Saccharomyces cerevisiae S288C: one gene and its partners. The protein of the gene in region 4 purifies or fractionates together with the protein of the main gene of each other region. This does not show direct contact. Each region holds a gene or a part of one and is shown on either strand. Other genes may lie near its edges.

What was found.
Region 1: the proteins of UTP8 (region 4) and KRE33 purify together in Saccharomyces cerevisiae (affinity purification with mass spectrometry; 3 studies listed by BioGRID). This does not show direct contact.
Region 2: the proteins of UTP8 (region 4) and PWP2 purify together in Saccharomyces cerevisiae (affinity purification with mass spectrometry; 7 studies listed by BioGRID). This does not show direct contact.
Region 3: the proteins of UTP8 (region 4) and NOP14 purify together in Saccharomyces cerevisiae (affinity purification with mass spectrometry; 4 studies listed by BioGRID). This does not show direct contact.

Annotation. Positions count from the first base shown.
Region 1 is NC_001146.8:373,338-378,991, forward strand, and holds KRE33 (ribosome biosynthesis protein KRE33), read left to right. Parts: upstream 1-1,983; coding exon 1,984-5,154; downstream 5,155-5,654. Other genes in the region: YNL134C (uncharacterized protein), read right to left, coding at 1-244; FYV6 (Fyv6p), read right to left, coding at 834-1,355; TOM22 (Tom22p), read left to right, coding at 5,430-5,654. UniProt on the Saccharomyces cerevisiae protein: RNA cytidine acetyltransferase with specificity toward both 18S rRNA and tRNAs. Catalyzes the formation of N(4)-acetylcytidine (ac4C) at positions 1280 and 1773 in 18S rRNA.
Region 2 is NC_001135.5:219,941-225,126, forward strand, and holds PWP2 (snoRNA-binding rRNA-processing protein PWP2), read right to left. Parts: upstream 3,289-5,186; coding exon 517-3,288; downstream 1-516. Other genes in the region: CTR86 (Ctr86p), read right to left, coding at 1-127; YIH1 (Yih1p), read right to left, coding at 3,514-4,290; TAH1 (Tah1p), read left to right, coding at 4,459-4,794. UniProt on the Saccharomyces cerevisiae protein: Required for bud-site selection and cell separation. Also involved in nucleolar processing of pre-18S ribosomal RNA.
Region 3 is NC_001136.10:187,615-192,279, forward strand, and holds NOP14 (snoRNA-binding rRNA-processing protein NOP14), read right to left. Parts: upstream 2,973-4,665; coding exon 540-2,972; downstream 1-539. Other genes in the region: autophagy protein ATG9, read left to right, coding at 1-304; proteasome regulatory particle lid subunit RPN5, read left to right, coding at 3,310-4,647. UniProt on the Saccharomyces cerevisiae protein: Involved in nucleolar processing of pre-18S ribosomal RNA. Has a role in the nuclear export of 40S pre-ribosomal subunit to the cytoplasm.
Region 4 is NC_001139.9:747,447-752,079, reverse strand, and holds UTP8 (Utp8p), read left to right. Parts: upstream 1-1,988; coding exon 1,989-4,130; downstream 4,131-4,633. Other genes in the region: YGR130C (uncharacterized protein), read left to right, coding at 1-686; SYF2 (Syf2p), read right to left, coding at 1,033-1,680; YGR127W (uncharacterized protein), read right to left, coding at 4,344-4,633. UniProt on the Saccharomyces cerevisiae protein: Involved in nucleolar processing of pre-18S ribosomal RNA. Also has a role in nuclear tRNA export. It acts between the steps of tRNA maturation/aminoacylation and its subsequent translocation out of the nucleus.

The DNA of each region.
Region 1 (5,654 bases), on a different chromosome or scaffold from region 4:
GTGCAGCATCAACATTTGGGCCCAACTTTACGATTTGGCCGGCTGCATCACAGCCTAAGAGGGCACCTTGAGGACCAATCTTGAAATCAATATGTTTCCAATCGGTAGGGTTACCGGCAACGGCGACAGTCTTAATTAGAACAAATCCTTCTTCTAATTCAGGAATTGGAATGTCCTGTTTGACTACAGCCTTGCCATTTTCAATGACAACGGCTTTCATGGTTTCTGGAATCGAGGCGGACATGCTTGATATGCAGTATGATATTGCTTTTTGCTGTGTATAGTTAACGATTTTTTTTCAACTAGAATTACAGTACTAATCAAGAAGTGAGAGGAAGAAAACGGCAAAAAAAAAACTCTCTCCTTTTAAATCGAAGCATTGCCGAAATACCTTAAAAACGGTCTTAAATCCTTAACATCTGTCCTTACTAATCGATGCCAATCCAACGGAGGGAGCCCATATGCTAGGTACTAAGAGTACGCAGGGGCGGAACCGCGCGACAACCGTAAGCGGATCCGAGGAACTTTAGTCAGCAGGGGCTGTGATGACCATTAAAAAATTGCGGACACAGGTAGTGGAACGAGCAATCAATGTGATCAATTTGCCATTTCATTCCACGAAATGGTTTCCATTCTAAGCATGAATGCTTTGACGTTACGGGTGTTGGTTATTTCGGTTCTTTTTATTGCTTCCGTGGGCACGTACGAGAAGGGAAGATGAATAGAAAAAGAGTTTCCGAGTTTTGTATGTCCAATGTTTACATAATTTATATAACTTGAAGTTTAATCTTGGCATAAAGCTCTAGTTGTGACGAAGTGTGTAGGCCATCACATCAGTTCTCCAGTTTTCTACCCAATTTTTTTATGGATACCTTGATTTTTGGTTTAGGGCTGGATGTCTTTACGCCCTTTATTTGTGTTTTACTGCCCAAACTAGTGCCGGTCTCTAAATATTTTTCTGTATTAGTAGTAGAATCGTTCTCCATTAGTAATGCTTTTTTTTTCTTTTCAAAATTGATTGCCTTGACGTCTAAGTAGTTATTCAGTTCTTTTTCCTTTTTTAGCAACTCATTCTTGCTCTTCTGGTAAAATTCCAGGTCCTCTTTACTCAACCTAGTAAAACTTTCACGGTCTCTCACCAAACCGTTATATTGTTTTTGTTTACTAATAGCATTAGACCTAAGCTGATCTCGCAGGGACTTCCTGGTTTTCCTTTTATATTCCGCTTCATATTTTTTTTGCTCCACTTGCTCTCGTATCCTCTGGGCCTCTACATTACCAACTCCTTCTGACACGAATTTCAGTGGTTTTTTCTCTCTTGCACTATTAGCATTATTATCACTGGTAGATGACATGATGATATAACAGAGCCCACAGTCTTTTGTTGGAACCGCTTTCTCTAGGCTTCGATGGACTTACATCTAATTGCACATTCTCGTGCGTTTAAACGTCATTTTTCCCTCAGATTGGCAGTGCATCAAAAGTAATTCCTAGGGACGACAAAAAGGCGGAAAAGGTTTCAGAAAAATAAGCGGACTTAGCTCAGTTGGGAGAGCGCCAGACTGAAGAAAAACTTCGGTCAAGTCATCTGGAGGTCCTGTGTTCGATCCACAGAGTTCGCAATTTGAAAAATTTTTTTTAATGATTACGCATGTGGATGTGTTCAGTATCAACCGATGCTCGCTTTTCCAATCAAATGATACAAGCCAGACCGAACATTGCATGTTTTCCATTGTAACTTCCCAGGTATATCTGAATTAGTTGTAAAAAGTAATAGTTTACCCGGAATCGTGTGAAAAATTTTGAAAAAAAAAAATGAAGAGCCAAGATACAATGAGATGAGATGAGGTGCTGAAGATGCATGGAGATTCTGTATTTATCTCAAATAAAGTACGCAATAGAGTATATAAGCCAAGTCACCTTTTATATTTCTTAGTTTTTAACTTGCAAAGACTTATAAGAGACTTATAAAACAAGGAGAAAATGGCCAAAAAAGCTATCGATTCAAGAATCCCGTCACTGATCAGGAATGGTGTTCAAACCAAACAAAGGTCCATATTTGTCATCGTTGGGGACAGGGCACGTAACCAGCTCCCAAATTTACATTATTTGATGATGAGTGCTGACCTTAAGATGAACAAGTCCGTCTTATGGGCTTATAAGAAGAAGCTTCTAGGATTCACTTCGCACAGAAAAAAAAGAGAGAATAAAATTAAGAAAGAAATTAAAAGAGGTACAAGGGAAGTGAATGAAATGGACCCTTTTGAATCTTTTATCTCTAACCAAAATATCAGATATGTATACTACAAAGAGAGTGAGAAAATATTGGGTAATACCTATGGTATGTGTATTCTTCAGGACTTCGAGGCATTAACCCCAAATCTTTTAGCAAGAACCATTGAAACTGTAGAAGGTGGTGGTATTGTGGTTATTTTATTGAAATCAATGTCATCGTTAAAGCAACTGTACACCATGACTATGGATGTTCACGCCCGTTATCGTACTGAGGCTCATGGTGACGTTGTTGCAAGATTTAACGAAAGATTCATACTTTCTTTAGGTTCAAATCCAAACTGTTTAGTCGTTGATGATGAATTAAATGTTCTACCGCTATCTGGTGCCAAAAACGTGAAACCACTACCTCCTAAGGAAGATGACGAATTGCCTCCAAAGCAATTAGAGTTGCAAGAATTAAAAGAATCCTTAGAAGATGTCCAACCAGCTGGTTCATTGGTTTCTCTATCCAAAACTGTCAATCAAGCCCACGCTATTCTTTCTTTCATTGATGCCATTTCGGAAAAAACTTTGAATTTCACAGTTGCACTAACAGCTGGAAGAGGTAGAGGTAAGTCTGCTGCTTTAGGTATTTCTATTGCCGCGGCCGTTTCTCACGGGTATTCTAATATTTTTGTTACTTCTCCATCTCCCGAAAATTTAAAGACTCTATTTGAGTTTATTTTCAAAGGATTCGATGCCTTAGGTTACCAAGAACACATTGATTATGATATCATTCAATCTACGAACCCCGACTTCAACAAAGCCATTGTGAGAGTTGATATTAAAAGAGATCACAGACAAACGATTCAATATATTGTTCCTCAAGACCATCAAGTTCTGGGCCAAGCTGAATTAGTTGTCATTGATGAAGCTGCAGCTATTCCTTTGCCAATCGTCAAGAACTTGCTGGGCCCATATCTAGTCTTCATGGCATCCACTATCAATGGTTACGAAGGTACGGGTAGATCTTTATCTCTGAAGTTAATTCAGCAATTGCGTAATCAAAACAACACATCCGGTCGGGAAAGTACTCAAACCGCCGTTGTTTCGAGAGATAATAAGGAAAAAGACTCTCACTTACATTCTCAATCCCGTCAATTACGTGAAATTTCCTTGGACGAACCAATCAGATATGCTCCTGGTGACCCAATTGAAAAATGGTTAAACAAGCTCTTATGTTTAGATGTTACTTTAATTAAAAACCCAAGATTTGCAACAAGAGGAACTCCTCACCCATCCCAATGTAATCTATTTGTTGTCAATAGAGATACTCTATTTTCTTATCATCCTGTCTCAGAAAATTTCCTGGAAAAAATGATGGCACTGTACGTTTCATCCCATTACAAGAATTCTCCAAACGACTTACAACTGATGAGTGACGCCCCAGCGCACAAACTATTTGTTCTTTTACCACCAATTGATCCAAAGGATGGCGGCAGGATCCCTGACCCTCTATGTGTCATTCAAATTGCATTGGAAGGTGAAATCAGTAAGGAGAGTGTCAGAAATTCATTATCGAGAGGCCAAAGAGCTGGTGGTGATTTAATCCCATGGCTGATCTCTCAACAATTCCAAGACGAGGAATTCGCTAGTTTGAGTGGTGCTCGTATCGTCAGAATTGCCACTAATCCTGAATACGCATCCATGGGCTATGGTTCTCGTGCAATTGAATTACTGAGAGACTATTTCGAGGGTAAATTCACTGACATGTCTGAAGATGTTCGTCCTAAGGATTATTCTATAAAGAGGGTGAGCGATAAGGAACTGGCCAAAACTAATTTATTAAAGGATGACGTTAAATTAAGAGACGCAAAAACGTTGCCACCTCTACTATTAAAACTTTCTGAACAGCCTCCTCATTATCTACATTATTTGGGTGTTTCATATGGTTTAACGCAATCGTTGCATAAATTCTGGAAGAATAACAGCTTTGTTCCTGTTTATTTACGTCAAACCGCAAACGATTTAACTGGTGAACATACTTGTGTTATGTTGAACGTTTTGGAAGGCAGAGAATCAAACTGGCTCGTTGAATTTGCCAAAGATTTCCGTAAAAGATTTCTGTCGCTTCTTTCTTATGATTTTCATAAGTTTACTGCCGTTCAAGCCTTAAGTGTCATTGAAAGTAGTAAGAAAGCACAAGATTTGTCTGATGACGAAAAGCATGATAATAAAGAATTGACGCGGACGCATCTGGATGACATTTTTTCTCCATTTGACTTGAAAAGATTGGATAGCTACTCAAATAATTTGCTAGATTATCACGTTATCGGTGATATGATACCCATGCTTGCTCTTTTGTACTTCGGCGATAAAATGGGAGATTCAGTAAAACTATCAAGCGTCCAGAGTGCTATCCTGTTGGCTATAGGGTTACAGCGTAAAAACATCGACACTATTGCCAAGGAATTGAATTTACCTTCCAATCAAACTATTGCTATGTTTGCGAAGATCATGAGAAAAATGTCTCAGTACTTCCGTCAGCTGTTAAGCCAATCAATTGAAGAAACTCTACCAAATATCAAAGATGATGCTATTGCTGAAATGGATGGTGAAGAAATCAAAAATTACAACGCTGCAGAAGCACTGGACCAAATGGAAGAAGATTTAGAAGAAGCCGGTTCTGAAGCCGTTCAGGCGATGAGGGAAAAACAAAAAGAGCTAATCAACTCCTTGAACTTAGATAAATACGCCATAAATGATAACAGTGAGGAATGGGCTGAATCTCAAAAATCTTTAGAAATAGCTGCCAAGGCCAAAGGCGTCGTCAGTTTAAAAACTGGTAAAAAGAGAACGACTGAAAAGGCTGAAGATATCTATAGACAAGAGATGAAAGCTATGAAAAAACCAAGAAAGTCTAAAAAGGCTGCAAATTAAGCGTTCTACTCTTTGTCAAACCCTTTTATAGCTAAACGTTTACTTAATTTGTACAATAATATAGAATAGAAACATAGTTGATGTTTGAACCTTTACATATTCCTTTCAATCGTGTCGAGCGATATAAGTATTACGATTATGCCGGCGAAAACTGAACCCGTTTTAGACAATTTCAATCAACATACTCCACTCCGTAGTGAGTAACTTTTGGAGTAATACGAAGTAACCAAAGAGGTCAAAACGGAACTATATACCCCAAAATAAGCATCATTCAAATGGTCGAATTAACTGAAATTAAAGACGATGTCGTTCAATTAGACGAACCACAATTTTCCAGAAATCAGGCCATCGTGGAAGAAAAGGCTTCTGCAACAAACAACGACGTTGTCGATGATGAAGATGACTCTGATAGTGATTTTGAAGATGAATTTGATGAAAATGAAACATTGTTGGACAGAATCGTTGCTTTAAAAGACATTGTCCCCCCAGGTAAGAGACAA
Region 2 (5,186 bases), on a different chromosome or scaffold from region 4:
TTTGAAATATACGGTTCAGGTTTTCGACGATTGGCTCATAATCCTCGACGCAACATGGGTCGTTCTTCATCATGGTAATGATTGAATCAAATAAATTGAATTCATCTAGAAAATTGTTCATAGGCATTGTTATTTAGTTATCTTCTTTTTTGATGAATCAATAATTTTATAAGGCTTAGTGTAATTGTTCTCCCGATGATAGTATGAAACGGTAGTCGATAAATTTGTGTCAAATTTTTTCCTCATCCCATCAATTCTTCATTTTTTCCCTTCCTATTTTTTTTTTTACTGAAGCGATGATGCCTTATATATAAGGAAAATAGCCTCGTCAGTCAAAGGACGACTCCCGTAATGGTAGCCTCAGTTTATATTAGGCGCTCTCATCATGATGTATATCGATATTGGCGATGATATTTTTTTTTGTTGATATTAAATACAAATGTAATGCTTTATATAGTTCTATACTTGGGGAATACATGATGTGAATGTGCATAAATAGAGGACAGTGAATATTTTTCAAGGAAGCTCTTTCTCATTTTCTTCTTCATCACTGGAATCATTTTCATTAGACAAGGGTAATTTGTTATCCTTCCCATTGAAACCAATCCATCCTTCCTCGTCGTCAGATTCCATGACTACATCGTTCTCTTCGTTCTCTTCGTTATCTTCATCTGCGTCATCTTTTAATAGAACCTCGTCATCATCAGCCGCGCCATCTTCCATGGACCCATCAGTTGATACCAAAAATCTATAGGTGTATTTGTTATCAGTAGTGGTATTGACTACTTCCTTAGCCACTCTAACAATAAATCTTTGTATCGACCTCATAGCCGTCGAGAAGAGATATTTGTGTTCATTTATGTAACCACCGCTCGCAGATAATAGAGCTTTGATCCAAATTAGGTTAAACTCAATGTGTTGGGATTCAATGGCAAAATCACCGATGAACTTCAGAATCCTCGGTAAATATATTGCAGGAATATTACTTGCAACCAAGGGGATTTCCTTAATAGGTATGGCTTCATAGACTTTATTGATCAAATATTCTTCATTTAACCTGAACGCCATTACTAATGCATTTAAAAACTGCTTTTCTCGTAGCGCCTCTACAGTAGAATGGGGGGTGACGTCCACATCCAGATCAAAGGGATCAAATAATATCGTGTCATTGGTGGAATATATCAATAAACCTTCCGTTGAAGCAGCGGCAAATGCATTCGCCGTTGGGGAGAATTGCACCGAAGTAACTCTAACCTCTGGTCTCATTTTTCTTGTGGACAGGTCGCCACCTCTTTGAGACCCTGGTAAAGAATTATCAATACGATCCTCCAAATCTGAATTTTCGCCTGCATCGTCAATCAAATCTAATGAACCTGCTTCAGTCATTTTCTTACTGTTTAAAAATTCGAGAGTACCATTCAAAGCCATGTTTCTGGACACAATGAATCTTTTTAACAAGACTTCATTTGGAACATCATATAGACAAATGGAGTTATTATTACCACCAGCCACAATAGCCATACCATCAAAACTGTAATGTATTGTAGTAAAAAATTTGGATCGTTCAGAATTTTTGGCAGTGAACCTATCTTGATTAAACCTACCAGATATTATATCCTTTCTACAGTCAATGTTGCCCACCTGCTTGGCATCTTCTATGTTGAAAATGGATATTTGACCCTTTAAGGTAGATACTGCAACTTCTTTACCATCTGGTCTCATTGATAAGGCTAAAACATCGGAATAAACTTCTATAGGTTCTACTTGTTGGCTTCTACCAAATATGGACCAGATTCTAATTGTTTTATCCCATGATGCAGAAGCTAAGACACTGTTCTCTTGACTAAATGAAAGACACGAAACAGGGCCTTCATGTCCGGACAAAGCATCTAATAATTGACCAGTTTGCACGGACCAAACATGAATGTCAAAATTGTCCAGGGACCCGGCACAAACCACTTCACCTGATGGATCCACCGCTAAACAATTGAATTGGATTCTTTCAGTACCAGTGAATGTTCTAAAATTACGATACCTGATTAAGTCCCACGCTCTCACCGTACCATCTAACGATGATGAGAACATGACCTGACCCCTTTTCGCAAACTGTACAGCAGTAACTGAAGAGGTGTGTTCTTCAAAAGTGGCCAAACAAAACCCTGATGTAATGTCCCAAACTTTGATTTTCCCATCTTCGGATGCTGTCACTACACGTGAACCATCCGGAGAGTATGCAAGACTATTTGTGGAATCGAAATGGCCCTGCTGCTTCAAGATATACGATTCCGATTGCCATTCGTAAACTAGTAATTGGCCCAGTTTGCTGGAACCAAACGCCAGCCATTCGCCGGTTTGGTTGACGCTAACGGTGTTGACTGGGTTTTGCCCCATAGAAAGCTGTTGAATCAAAGTGAAATCAGGCAAATCGTAAAGACGGAATTCCCCACTAGTAAATCCGACAGCTAAAAGCCTTGTTGCTGGATGGAAGGTGACACACTTTACTTTGGCTTGGTTTGCGTAAAAAAAATGTTTCTTTGTGATTCTCCAGCTGTATTTCGAAATATCTACTTCTTCTTGCTTGTCGTCGTCTTCACTTTCATTGTCGTCGTCATCGGATGGCCTCTTGGTAAATTCCCAGACAAAGACAGCACCGTCTTTGCTTACAGTGTAGATTTTTTCCTGATCATGACTGAAGAACGCACCCATAACGTAGTCTCTGTGCCCATTAAATGTTGTCGCCGCAAGGTTCTTTTCCTCTGAATCTACGGACCATATTTTTGCGCTTAAGTCTTTGGAAGTCGTAAGGATAAATCTGGAATCTTGTGACCACGTCAAAGACGTTATGTCTTGAAAGTGTCCCGCATGCACCCTATGGCGGACGAAGGGAGCAAACTGTCTGTCTTTATTAACATCTGGAGTCTTCCAAATCTGTAAAAACCTGCCTGAGGCTAATGCAAAGAGTCTCCCATCAGGGCTGAACTTCACAGCGGAGCATTTTTCTTTGAAGTTGAAATGGTGAAGCACGTTACGGGCTTTGAAATTGACAAGGATGGCGCGACCGTCCTCGTCAATAGAAATCAGCAATGTGCCTTGTTTGTTCAGATCAATGGCAGCAATATTTTTGCGATGCTCGTATTCAAACGTGAACGATTTGTTGTTGATTAAGTCAAACACGCTGACCCTATTCCCCACCGGTGAGAGTAGTTGCTTGCCATCATCGGAAAAGGTGATGTTACCTTGCCTGTAGACCGTACCTAAAAGGTTAGAGAACTTGAAATCGGATTTCATTGGGATGCGGTTCAATCTGCGGTCTGCTCTCCTGTCTACCTGTTGAAAACGATACTATTATTACTATTATTGATATTATACTAGTTATTGTACATACCTAGAACTATACTCGAAACTTTTTTTTTTTTCATCTTTCAGCTCATCGCAAAATTTTTCCAAAAAATTTCAAAAAGAACTCCCGTCGCATGTGATCAAGGTTACAGGTGCTTGACATAATCATAATGATTACGAGTCGAAGCCGGCCCTGACAACAGCTTCTCTTGCCGTAGAATTGATGTGTTTAAACCGGTCGGGACCTATGTGGGCACCGCCGAACCAACGGGCCACCACAACGATGACGTTCCACACATCCATGATGGTGATGAGGTGCAGCATTCTGGAGCCGGCGGCCGTTTCACCGTCATCATCGGAATCTTGATATGTTGCCGCAGAGCCATCCTGCTTGATTCGCCATGCACTCATGACATGGTTTGCCTTACGCATCTTGGAGTCGGTCTTCAGTAGGTCTAGCATGGCAAACGCTTGTTCCTCGGAGGTAACATGTGCTGCAAAGGCCATGAAAGTCGAGCCTCTATCAGTAATGGGGTCCGACGCGGTCCAGCCCTCGAAGGGGTCTGTGGGAATGTCACTCTGCTGGACCGGTTCTGTCTCCTCCTCTGGTTCAACGTACAAGACACCGTCGAGTTCTGTGAGGAAGTCAAATAGACAGACAGATCCGCGGTGGAAAACAGAGTCCATCACTTCCTGGAACAAATGCTGAAGGTACTTGGTATCGTAGAGATCGCGCTTAGCCAAAGAAGTGCAGACACCAACTTCGATGACATTAGGAGCCTCCTCGGAGGGGTAGTGTGTCGGGAAGGAGATCTGCAGTGTCATGTATTCATGCTGCGGCACTTTCACAACGATGATGCTTCCGTCTTCCTGCTTCTTGGAGAGAAGATCCGGATAGATGGCCTCGACGGCCTCCAGTTCTTCGACCAACTGTTCGTGATCGTCATCCATTGAGCTTTTCTTTCCTCTCTCTTTTTTTTTTCTTGTTACATATTCCTATATATATGTATATATATCTATATATATATATATCCCAGCGTATATGACTGCACAAGACGCAATTTTCTTGAACGGTTTTTTCTTTTCAGCACTGCGAAAGAGAGAGCAACGGTAAAGAGCATGAGCCAATTTGAAAAGCAGAAGGAACAGGGCAATTCTTTGTTCAAACAGGGCCTGTATCGCGAGGCTGTGCACTGTTATGACCAACTAATTACTGCTCAACCGCAGAACCCGGTCGGGTACAGCAACAAAGCCATGGCGCTGATCAAACTGGGTGAATATACACAGGCTATTCAAATGTGCCAGCAAGGACTGCGGTACACCTCAACGGCAGAGCATGTAGCTATCAGATCCAAATTGCAATATCGTCTAGAGCTGGCACAGGGAGCGGTAGGTTCAGTACAGATCCCTGTTGTAGAGGTTGATGAACTACCGGAGGGATACGACCGGTCCTGAGAAAAGAGAAAGGGAACACTTCTAATTTATCTTTAAAATTATATATATATATATATATATATGTGTGTTTGTATACTCTGTGGGTATTTCCGTGTATATGGTTAATAATAGTAGTATCTTGTCAGTTTTTTTTATGTTTTTCTTCGCGCGTCAACTTTCTACCAAGAGAAAAACAATATAAGGTCTCCTTACTCTATAGGAGAATAAAACAAACAAAAATAAAAAGCACATCGTAGCGCCAAGAAAATACTGCAAATACCAAATACCACAATAATACTACAATTATCTATACACAAGTGTTTTGCCGCTTAAAACTTCGATTTTCATAGTACGAAACTATACACCCTTGGTTTTTCTCTTTTCTAAATACATATCTACCTTGTAAAGAATTT
Region 3 (4,665 bases), on a different chromosome or scaffold from region 4:
TATTTCCCCTGCTATATATTCTACAAGGAATCCCGGCAAGAACTGGGATAACAATAATAATGGTGATGACATTAAGAACGGGACCAATAATGCTACAGCTAAAAATGATGACAATAATGGCAATAATGATCATGAATACGTACTAACAGAGTCTTTCCTTGATTCGGGCGCATTCCCTAATCATGATGTAATAGACCATAATAAAATGCTAAACTCAAATTACAATGGTAATGGCATACTCAATAAGGGTGGTGTCTTAGGACTTGTTAAAGAGTATTACAAGAAGTCTGACGTCGGAAGATAAGGCAGACTGTGTCGTGTACATCATCCAATATAACTATATATATAACTGTTTCCTTTCTTTTTCGTATTTACCTAAATGCATATATTATTCAGTTCCCACTAATTTTGTACTACAATAATAAGAGAATCCCTTCCCTGTTTTAGAAATGAGTAGTTCTTTTCTTTTTCATAAATAATACAGTTGTCTCTGAGAAGCCTAATAAGAAAAAAAGAGGTTAATAAATTATTATTATTGGTTATTTCTTTCCGCCACGTAGTTTTCTTTCTCTTTCATACTTGTTTTTTTCCGCACCTTCTTCGGTATTAATAGTGTTAACAATATGAGCCATCTTTGCATGGTAGTCGCTGCTCTCCTTGTTCTTTTCTTCAATTCTTTGTCTAGCTTCAAATTTGGCGTCTTTACGGATTTCTTTCATAGTGAATTTACGTTCCTTCTTTAGTTGGGCCTTCATCTTATTTATCTCACTTCTTGTTCTATCAGGATCGTACGATTTTTTATCAGGATTGAAGTTTTCTTCGTATTTAGGAGCATGCGTAGGTATGGATACGGGTTTGTGGTTCTGTAAAGCCAACGGAATATGTTCTGTGAATTTCGTTAATTTTTCAACTTTGTTCAAAATATTTCTTGGCTTTTCAAAATCAGAATACTTTGAGGTGTATGCACTTAATAACTGCTGAATCGGTAAAATAATTTCATTGAAAGCAGGTAAGCTCTTCCACACAGTAGAGATAGTTGCATCTAAAGATTCCATAACATTTAGTAAAACGGAGACACATTGATCAACCGGATGTGCCTCGGTATCCATTGTTGACAAGGTATGTAATGGAATAATAGTTGATCTCTTTTTTGTAAAGTCAACGTCCAATGGAAGCCCCAACTCGTAAGAGTCTAGTCTAATATTTTCAAAATCTAATGGTTTTTCTTGATTTTCTTTCTCAACTATAAAAGTGAGTAATATTTTTTGAAAGAAGTAAACCACCTCCGGTATGTACCGTTTGGAAATGCGTTGATATTGTGAAACAATCCTTACCAAGACAGCGCCAAAAGCTATCCTCTTTAAAGAATTAAACTTGATTTGTTCCAGGAACTGGCTCATTAAAATCAATGCTGGAGTTATTACTAAATGGTACTGGTCCGAGGTGGAGAAAAGAATACCAATAATGGAAAAAAATACCAGATCACCATTTGATAGAGCATCAAAATGGTTCTTTTTATAGCGTGCTTGCATTTCATTGATATAATCTCTACACTCCTCGGAAAGCTCTCTATTATATTTCTCTGAAAGGGATTTTAGAATTGAGATCAATGCATTTTGTGTACGTTTAAAACTTTGAACGTTTTTAAGGTAGTTTTGATTGCTTAGAAAAATGATGTGTCTCAGTAAAACAGCGGTGAATTTTCCTAACTTTTCCTTATTACCTTCAGCCAATTTTGGTTGGTAAGCTTTGATAATATTCTTAACAATCTTAGGATGATCATCTAAGTCTAATTTTTTTACTTGATCTAATAACGCATCATGAGTTCTAGGGCATGAAATGGAAATGTTCTTTTTCTTTAAAATTTGAGAAAACCCTTCATCTCTGCCTTGATCTTCAAATTTGATATCATCATCAGAATCAGCAATACCGTCATTATCGTCTTCATAGTCTTCTTCATTTTCCCAGAATCCATCATCCAAATCCTCTACTCCTCTTTCTTCGCCTTCTTCTAATTCAATCATACCGTTCATACGATCAAGACGCTGTTGTTCCAACTCCCGTTTTTTTTCTTCAGCTTCAGCGTTTTTCTCCTCTTCAGTTTTAGTTCTATCAGAGGGTGCAGCTCTTTTGTCCAATTGTAGTTCTTTCACTTTGATATCATACTCCTTATCTAGATCGGTCTTAGGTTCCATTGGATTCTTCTTGGGTTGCGTCATCATCAATTCAGACATAACATCCTCGAAATTATCATCCAGATTATCTATTTGATCTTCCATTATACCTTGAGCCTTTTGTCTTTCTTGTTTGTAAAATTTTGATTTGGCAATGACCTCTTTCATGACTTCAGCTTTGGTTTTTTTTCTTTGAGGTTGCTGTAGCTCAGCATCATCTTCATTGAATCGTTTGGAAGCTAAAAAATCCTCTTCATCATTGGCAAGCTCATCTTCTAGGGACAGCGATTGACCTAAATGTGTAAGACCGTCTCCAAACATGTCACCGTCGTCTTCATCGTCTTCAAGATTGAATAAATTTGCGTTTCTCTTTGATTGGCTTTGTCTTTCTCTGGTGAAACGTTCCAACATTTTTTCTTCTTCCGTCAACAACTTGTCTCTTTCACCAAATCTCTTATCGATCACACCACCACGTTTATTCTTCATCATTTTTCTTGCTTCAAATGCACGCTTTCTTTGTTCTTCACCGATCTGTTTAGAGATACCAGGCTTACCCACAGCAATACGATCAGCAGTTTTAGAAGGCAGACCATCTCTCCTCTTATTCCTTGCAGCCTTTATTTCAAACGGATTAAACTCTTCTCTGATTTCAGCAATGGCCTTTTTTTTTTCTTCACGATCATACTCCTTCGCTTGTCTTTTGGAATTCTTTTTATTCTTACTTTTGACGTTTGTTTGACCTGTGAGTCCACGGGCCTTCAAGGCGGCCTTTAAATTCTTAAGTTGTGAACCGGCCATGTATTTGATCTTCCCTTTTATTTGCTTCTCAACTGTACTATTTACAGTAATAATTAGTGCAACCTTCAGATGCTTCTCGCTAAATGCTCATCTCTAAATTATCATTATTATTCCTAATAAATCCTAAAATTTTTCACTCGTTCTGTACGGCTCATCGCCCCAATATTACCCGTCTTGTATGTGATCTTTTTGACTTTTCGGTGGCAAAATGCAAAGGGGAATCCAAGGAAAAACCATAACAGGACACTACATCAGAGATAATCTTGAATTAAGAGAGTAGAGGAATATACTGCTGGGCTCACTACCATTTTTGTTGCTAGAGTAAACGTAGAGAAAGATGTCAAGAGATGCACCAATTAAGGCTGACAAGGATTATAGCCAAATTTTGAAGGAAGAGTTTCCTAAGATCGATTCGCTCGCTCAAAATGATTGTAACTCTGCTTTAGACCAACTGTTAGTGTTGGAGAAGAAAACCAGACAAGCTTCAGATCTGGCCTCCTCGAAAGAAGTTTTGGCCAAGATTGTAGATCTGCTAGCATCAAGGAATAAGTGGGACGACCTAAATGAGCAATTGACTCTACTCTCAAAAAAGCATGGTCAGTTGAAATTGTCAATTCAGTATATGATACAAAAGGTTATGGAATATTTGAAAAGCTCGAAATCTTTGGATTTAAACACCAGAATTAGTGTCATTGAAACTATCAGGGTGGTTACAGAGAACAAAATATTTGTAGAAGTGGAAAGAGCTAGGGTCACCAAAGATTTGGTGGAAATTAAGAAAGAAGAGGGTAAGATTGATGAAGCTGCAGACATCTTGTGTGAGTTACAGGTTGAGACCTATGGCTCCATGGAAATGTCTGAGAAAATTCAGTTTATATTAGAGCAAATGGAATTGAGTATATTAAAAGGTGATTATTCCCAAGCCACGGTGCTTTCAAGAAAAATTCTGAAAAAAACTTTTAAAAATCCAAAATACGAGTCATTGAAGCTAGAATATTATAATCTTCTGGTAAAAATTAGTTTGCACAAGAGAGAATACCTAGAAGTTGCGCAGTATCTGCAAGAAATTTATCAAACAGACGCCATTAAATCAGATGAGGCTAAGTGGAAACCTGTTTTATCGCACATTGTATATTTCTTAGTCCTTTCACCTTACGGCAATTTACAAAATGATTTAATTCACAAAATCCAGAATGATAACAACCTGAAAAAATTAGAAAGCCAAGAATCTTTAGTAAAATTGTTTACTACGAATGAGTTGATGAGATGGCCAATTGTTCAAAAAACCTATGAGCCCGTCTTAAATGAGGATGATTTGGCATTTGGTGGAGAAGCTAATAAGCATCACTGGGAAGATTTACAAAAAAGGGTCATCGAGCACAATTTAAGAGTCATTTCCGAATACTATTCCAGAATTACTTTACTAAGATTGAATGAATTGCTGGACCTAACGGAGAGCCAGACGGAAACATACATCAGTGATTTGGTAAACCAGGGCATCATATACGCTAAAGTTAATCGCCCAGCCAAAATCGTGAATTTTGAAAAACCAAAAAACTCAAGCCAATTATTGAACGAATGGTCACATAATGTTGACGAACTATTAGAACATATAGAAACAATAGGCCATTTAATTACAAAAGAGGAAATCATGCACGGTTTGCAAGCTAAATGAAGAGATTTTCGAGTAAGT
Region 4 (4,633 bases):
TGGAAAAGAAAAAGGAGGATTTGGTTACCCAAACTGAAGAAAATAAGAAGCTGCATGAAAAAAATGTACAAGTTTTGGAAAGTGTAGAGAACAAGGAATATCTTCCACAAATTAATGATATTGATAATCAAATATCAAGCTTATTGAACGAAGTGACCATAATCAAGCAGGAAAACGCCAATGAAAAAACTCAACTATCGGCAATTACCAAAAGACTCGAAGATGAGCGCCGCGCTCATGAAGAACAGTTGAAGCTAGAAGCTGAAGAAAGAAAACGCAAAGAAGAGAACTTATTGGAAAAACAGCGCCAAGAGCTGGAGGAACAAGCGCATCAGGCTCAATTAGATCATGAGCAGCAAATTACTCAAGTCAAGCAAACCTATAATGACCAATTGACTGAACTACAGGATAAGCTGGCAACCGAAGAGAAAGAACTGGAGGCAGTCAAGAGGGAAAGAACGCGATTACAAGCTGAAAAGGCTATCGAGGAACAAACTCGCCAGAAAAACGCTGATGAGGCCTTGAAGCAAGAAATATTGAGTAGGCAGCACAAACAAGCTGAAGGTATACACGCGGCTGAAAACCACAAAATACCAAATGACCGTTCACAAAAGAATACGAGCGTCCTTCCAAAGGACGATTCCTTGTATGAATATCATACTGAGGAAGACGTCATGTATGCCTAAAAAAAATAATATTCCACTTTTGTTCAAGGAATATCCCACCTCTATTTTATTTTTCTCTTCTATTCTTTGTCGAGTATCATCAAGTTATCCTTTGATTATTTTCACCCTTCCTAATCTACCTCTCTTTGTAACCGTTTTATGTACCAATATTTACTCAATCAACAATTTATCAACCAGTTAGTTATTCTCTAGTGTTTCGTGCTCAAATAACCGAGTAAGATGGACTCTCTTCTGAAGCACTTTTGCGGGCATTTAACCTCAGCTCGTCACGTGACGGTCGATGAAAAATCCAGGGTATTAAAACTTTCCTTTGGTTATATCGGTATATTCTAAATAAAAGAGAAGCTTATTCTGATCCTTTTGATTCCCTGCTCAATTTTTCATTGAATTGTTTATTTTTGTCATTAATGAAGCTTTCAACCCCATACAGTGTTTTTGCATTTTGCATTTGTCTTTTTCTTGCTTCGTATCTTTTTTTCGACTCAGATTGCAAAGAAACGGCCAACTTATTAACTAGCTTGTCGTCATCTGCAATTGTTATCTTACCCGTCTTAGTGTCCTTCTGTACCTTGCCGATTCTACCCTTCTTGGGTACGTTTTTATTGTCTTCTTCATCGGCGGAACTATCCTGTTTGCTCGAATTCTGTGTTTGCGTAGCGAGATTCCGCAAGGTCTTCTCATAACTCAATTTTGCAAGTTGATCATAGGAAATTCCACCTCTTTGGCTTTGCCCAGTCTTCCCTTGAGGATGCCTACGTTCCCACGCATCATATTCTTGGACAGTGTAATGAAATGCTTTCTCTTTTTCAGGACTTTCTGTATCTCCTACTGATTCATCTGCATCATTTACGTCTTCCATACTGTATACTCTTGGTTTTCGATTTGCGCTTACTTCCTGAATCTCTCTGTCAGCCAACTTCCTACTCTTTATAGATACATCTACTCTTTTCCTTTTCAACTCCTTCAGCTTCTCGTCTAATTTGTAAAAATCCATTCTTCGAATACTTTGACAAGATATGGTTTTGCTTCGCTTACAGTTCAATAGAGAAGTCAAACATTGTCATTGAGAGCCCCTCATCGCAAATATTGCTCTTTTAAGGAAAATATAGTAATATTCTAGCTTTTTTGTCATTCTACACGGAAATGTCTGTATTTTTCAAATTTTTTCATTATGCTGTAGCAGATGCCTGAAAAATTTGAAAACTTTGATGAGATGAGGTCACTGTTAAATTTGTAATATTATATGTCACACCTAGCGCTCCTTGAACAGCAAATCATTCCGGAGGATAGTAAAGATTCAAAATGCCATCCCTGTCTCAACCATTTAGACTAGCAACTCTCCCAAAAATTGCTTCATTGAGCAATTTTTCTTTACAAGCAGATTACGTTCAAGTCGCAGATGGCACCTTTAATGAATCTACAAATAACATAACGTTAGGTATTTCCGGGTCATCTATATCTCAATATATTATTAATCCTACACCAAAGTTAACATTCGATTACCCAATACCCTCTACAAATATTATCACGGCATGCAATGCTGAGAAAGGTCAAGCGAACATTGACGGAAATATAGAAGCCAGTACCGATGATGAAGCCAACAACGAGAAGACTATCAACACCCAAAAAAAAAGAAATGTTGAAATTTGGGCCTTTGGTTTAATGGTAAATAAGGGTAATTATACGCTAAATGTTATCACTAAGGCACTGGAAGATACCACTGATACCTCAAATGACCATCTGAGTGAGAGTGATATTGACAATAAAGCATACACGGGTTCAGACGAATTTTTATCTCAGTATAAGATCAAGGCGAAAGCCAAAGTCATGAGTATTAAAATTGACACCAAGAACAGCTTAGTAATTGCAATTTTACAGAACGGGTTGATTGAAATTTTTGATTTTAAGTTAACACTTTTGCATTCATTTGATATATCTTATGATAACTTAAAATATGCTAAATGGTTCACTGAAAATGGAACTGAATATGTTTTTGTTCTCTGTCCATTACAGGATGATAAAGTCTGCTATAAATTGCTCGAGCTAACAGATTGTGGCAGTGGAGAAAGTTCGCCCATAAAAGAATTATCATCTACTATCATCGAAGGATTTTCTTTTGAAAATTCAAAGCTTTGTTATCAATTTGGAAAACTTTACAAATTGAACCAGGGGAAAATATACATTTACTCTTTACCACATTGCCAATTGCAACAAGTTATTGAATTTCCGATGGTGGATAAACTCAGTCCTGGAGATGACTTAATCTCTTTCCAACCTGTTTCAGTAAACAGAGTTCTACTGACCGTAAACAACGTCATTTATCTACTAGACTTACTGCATTGTTCTACTTTAAGCCAAAGAGAATTAACTCACGTGAAAACATTCCAACTATTAAAATCTGCAGTGATCAATTCAGAAAAGTCGCATAATTCAAAAACAATAGCAATTGGTATTTCAACGAAAAATGGACCAAACCCAACGTCTTCCTTAGAAATAATTAATATTGATGTTGGAACTAATACGTTGAAGGACTCATTAGGCAAGAGTTTTCAAGTTGGAAATAATGATAGCTCAGTTATTTTAAAGCCGCTATTTGATGATAAAGACATAAATGACAAGAGAGTGAAATGTAACGACGTCAGCGGGGATTCAAGCGTTCCAGTCCTCCACTGTAATGAAGTTATTGAAAAGCTTTCAGCCCTTCAAGATAATGACATTACATCATTTGATGACATATTTTTCAAAGAACTAAAAATCAAAGAAGAACATTATACTGAAAAAGATAGATATATTTCTGATCCTGGCTTTTTGAATAAAGTTTTAGATCTAATTTTCGGAAAGTTTAGCGGAAATGATTATCCAAAAACTTTAACGTTTTTATTGACACACCCATTGTTTCCATTGAGTCGTACACGCAACTTGCTATCCTTACTAAGAGACCAACCTAGATTATTTAAACAAGCAATTGTAACATGCCCAAACTTGCCATTAAATGAACTACTTGAAGAATTGTTTTCTATCAGAAACAGGGAACTATTACTTGATATCTCATTTAGGATTTTGCAGGATTTCACCAGAGACTCTATTAAACAAGAAATGAAGAAACTAAGTAAATTAGACGTTCAAAATTTCATTGAGTTCATAACAAGCGGTGGTGAAGACAGCTCACCAGAATGCTTCAACCCTAGCCAAAGCACGCAGCTATTTCAACTCTTGTCCCTTGTGCTAGATTCTATCGGGCTATTTTCATTAGAAGGTGCTCTATTGGAGAACTTAACCTTATATATTGACAAACAAGTTGAGATTGCTGAAAGAAATACCGAATTGTGGAATTTGATTGATACGAAAGGTTTTCAGCATGGGTTTGCTAGCTCAACCTTTGATAACGGAACTTCTCAGAAGCGAGCCTTACCCACTTACACCATGGAATACTTGGACATTTGAGTATGCAATGAATTTGATTGTATTGTATAATACCTATATAGAAAAGGAACTAATATATATAGCGTCTACTGTGGTTACTGATAAACTAACAGGCATTTAGAATTTGAAAACATCATATACATTAGATGTGTCCAACAAGAGATACCGGAATGTTCTGAGGGGAAGAAGATGGAATTTAAAGCTAGTTTGAAATAAAATGGAAGATTGTGATTTTTACAATTTGAATTTAAACCTTTTTTCCTCCTTAGGTGAGGTTACCGAATACTTGCGCACGTCTTCATCTGAGCTATAAAGGACCCTTTCTATAAAGGTAACTCTCGTTGAATCCTTACTCACGAGTAAAACTATTTGAGAGCGAGTTCCGTAGTAATCACCATCAGGAATTGAGGCACCTAAGTCATCCCTGGGAGGCCTCCGTAAAGGTGGTACGTATATGGTATTCATGGTTACATTTGGATCTACCATCTGCAAGACATCTGGGTTTGAAATAGTGCTTGGAAGGG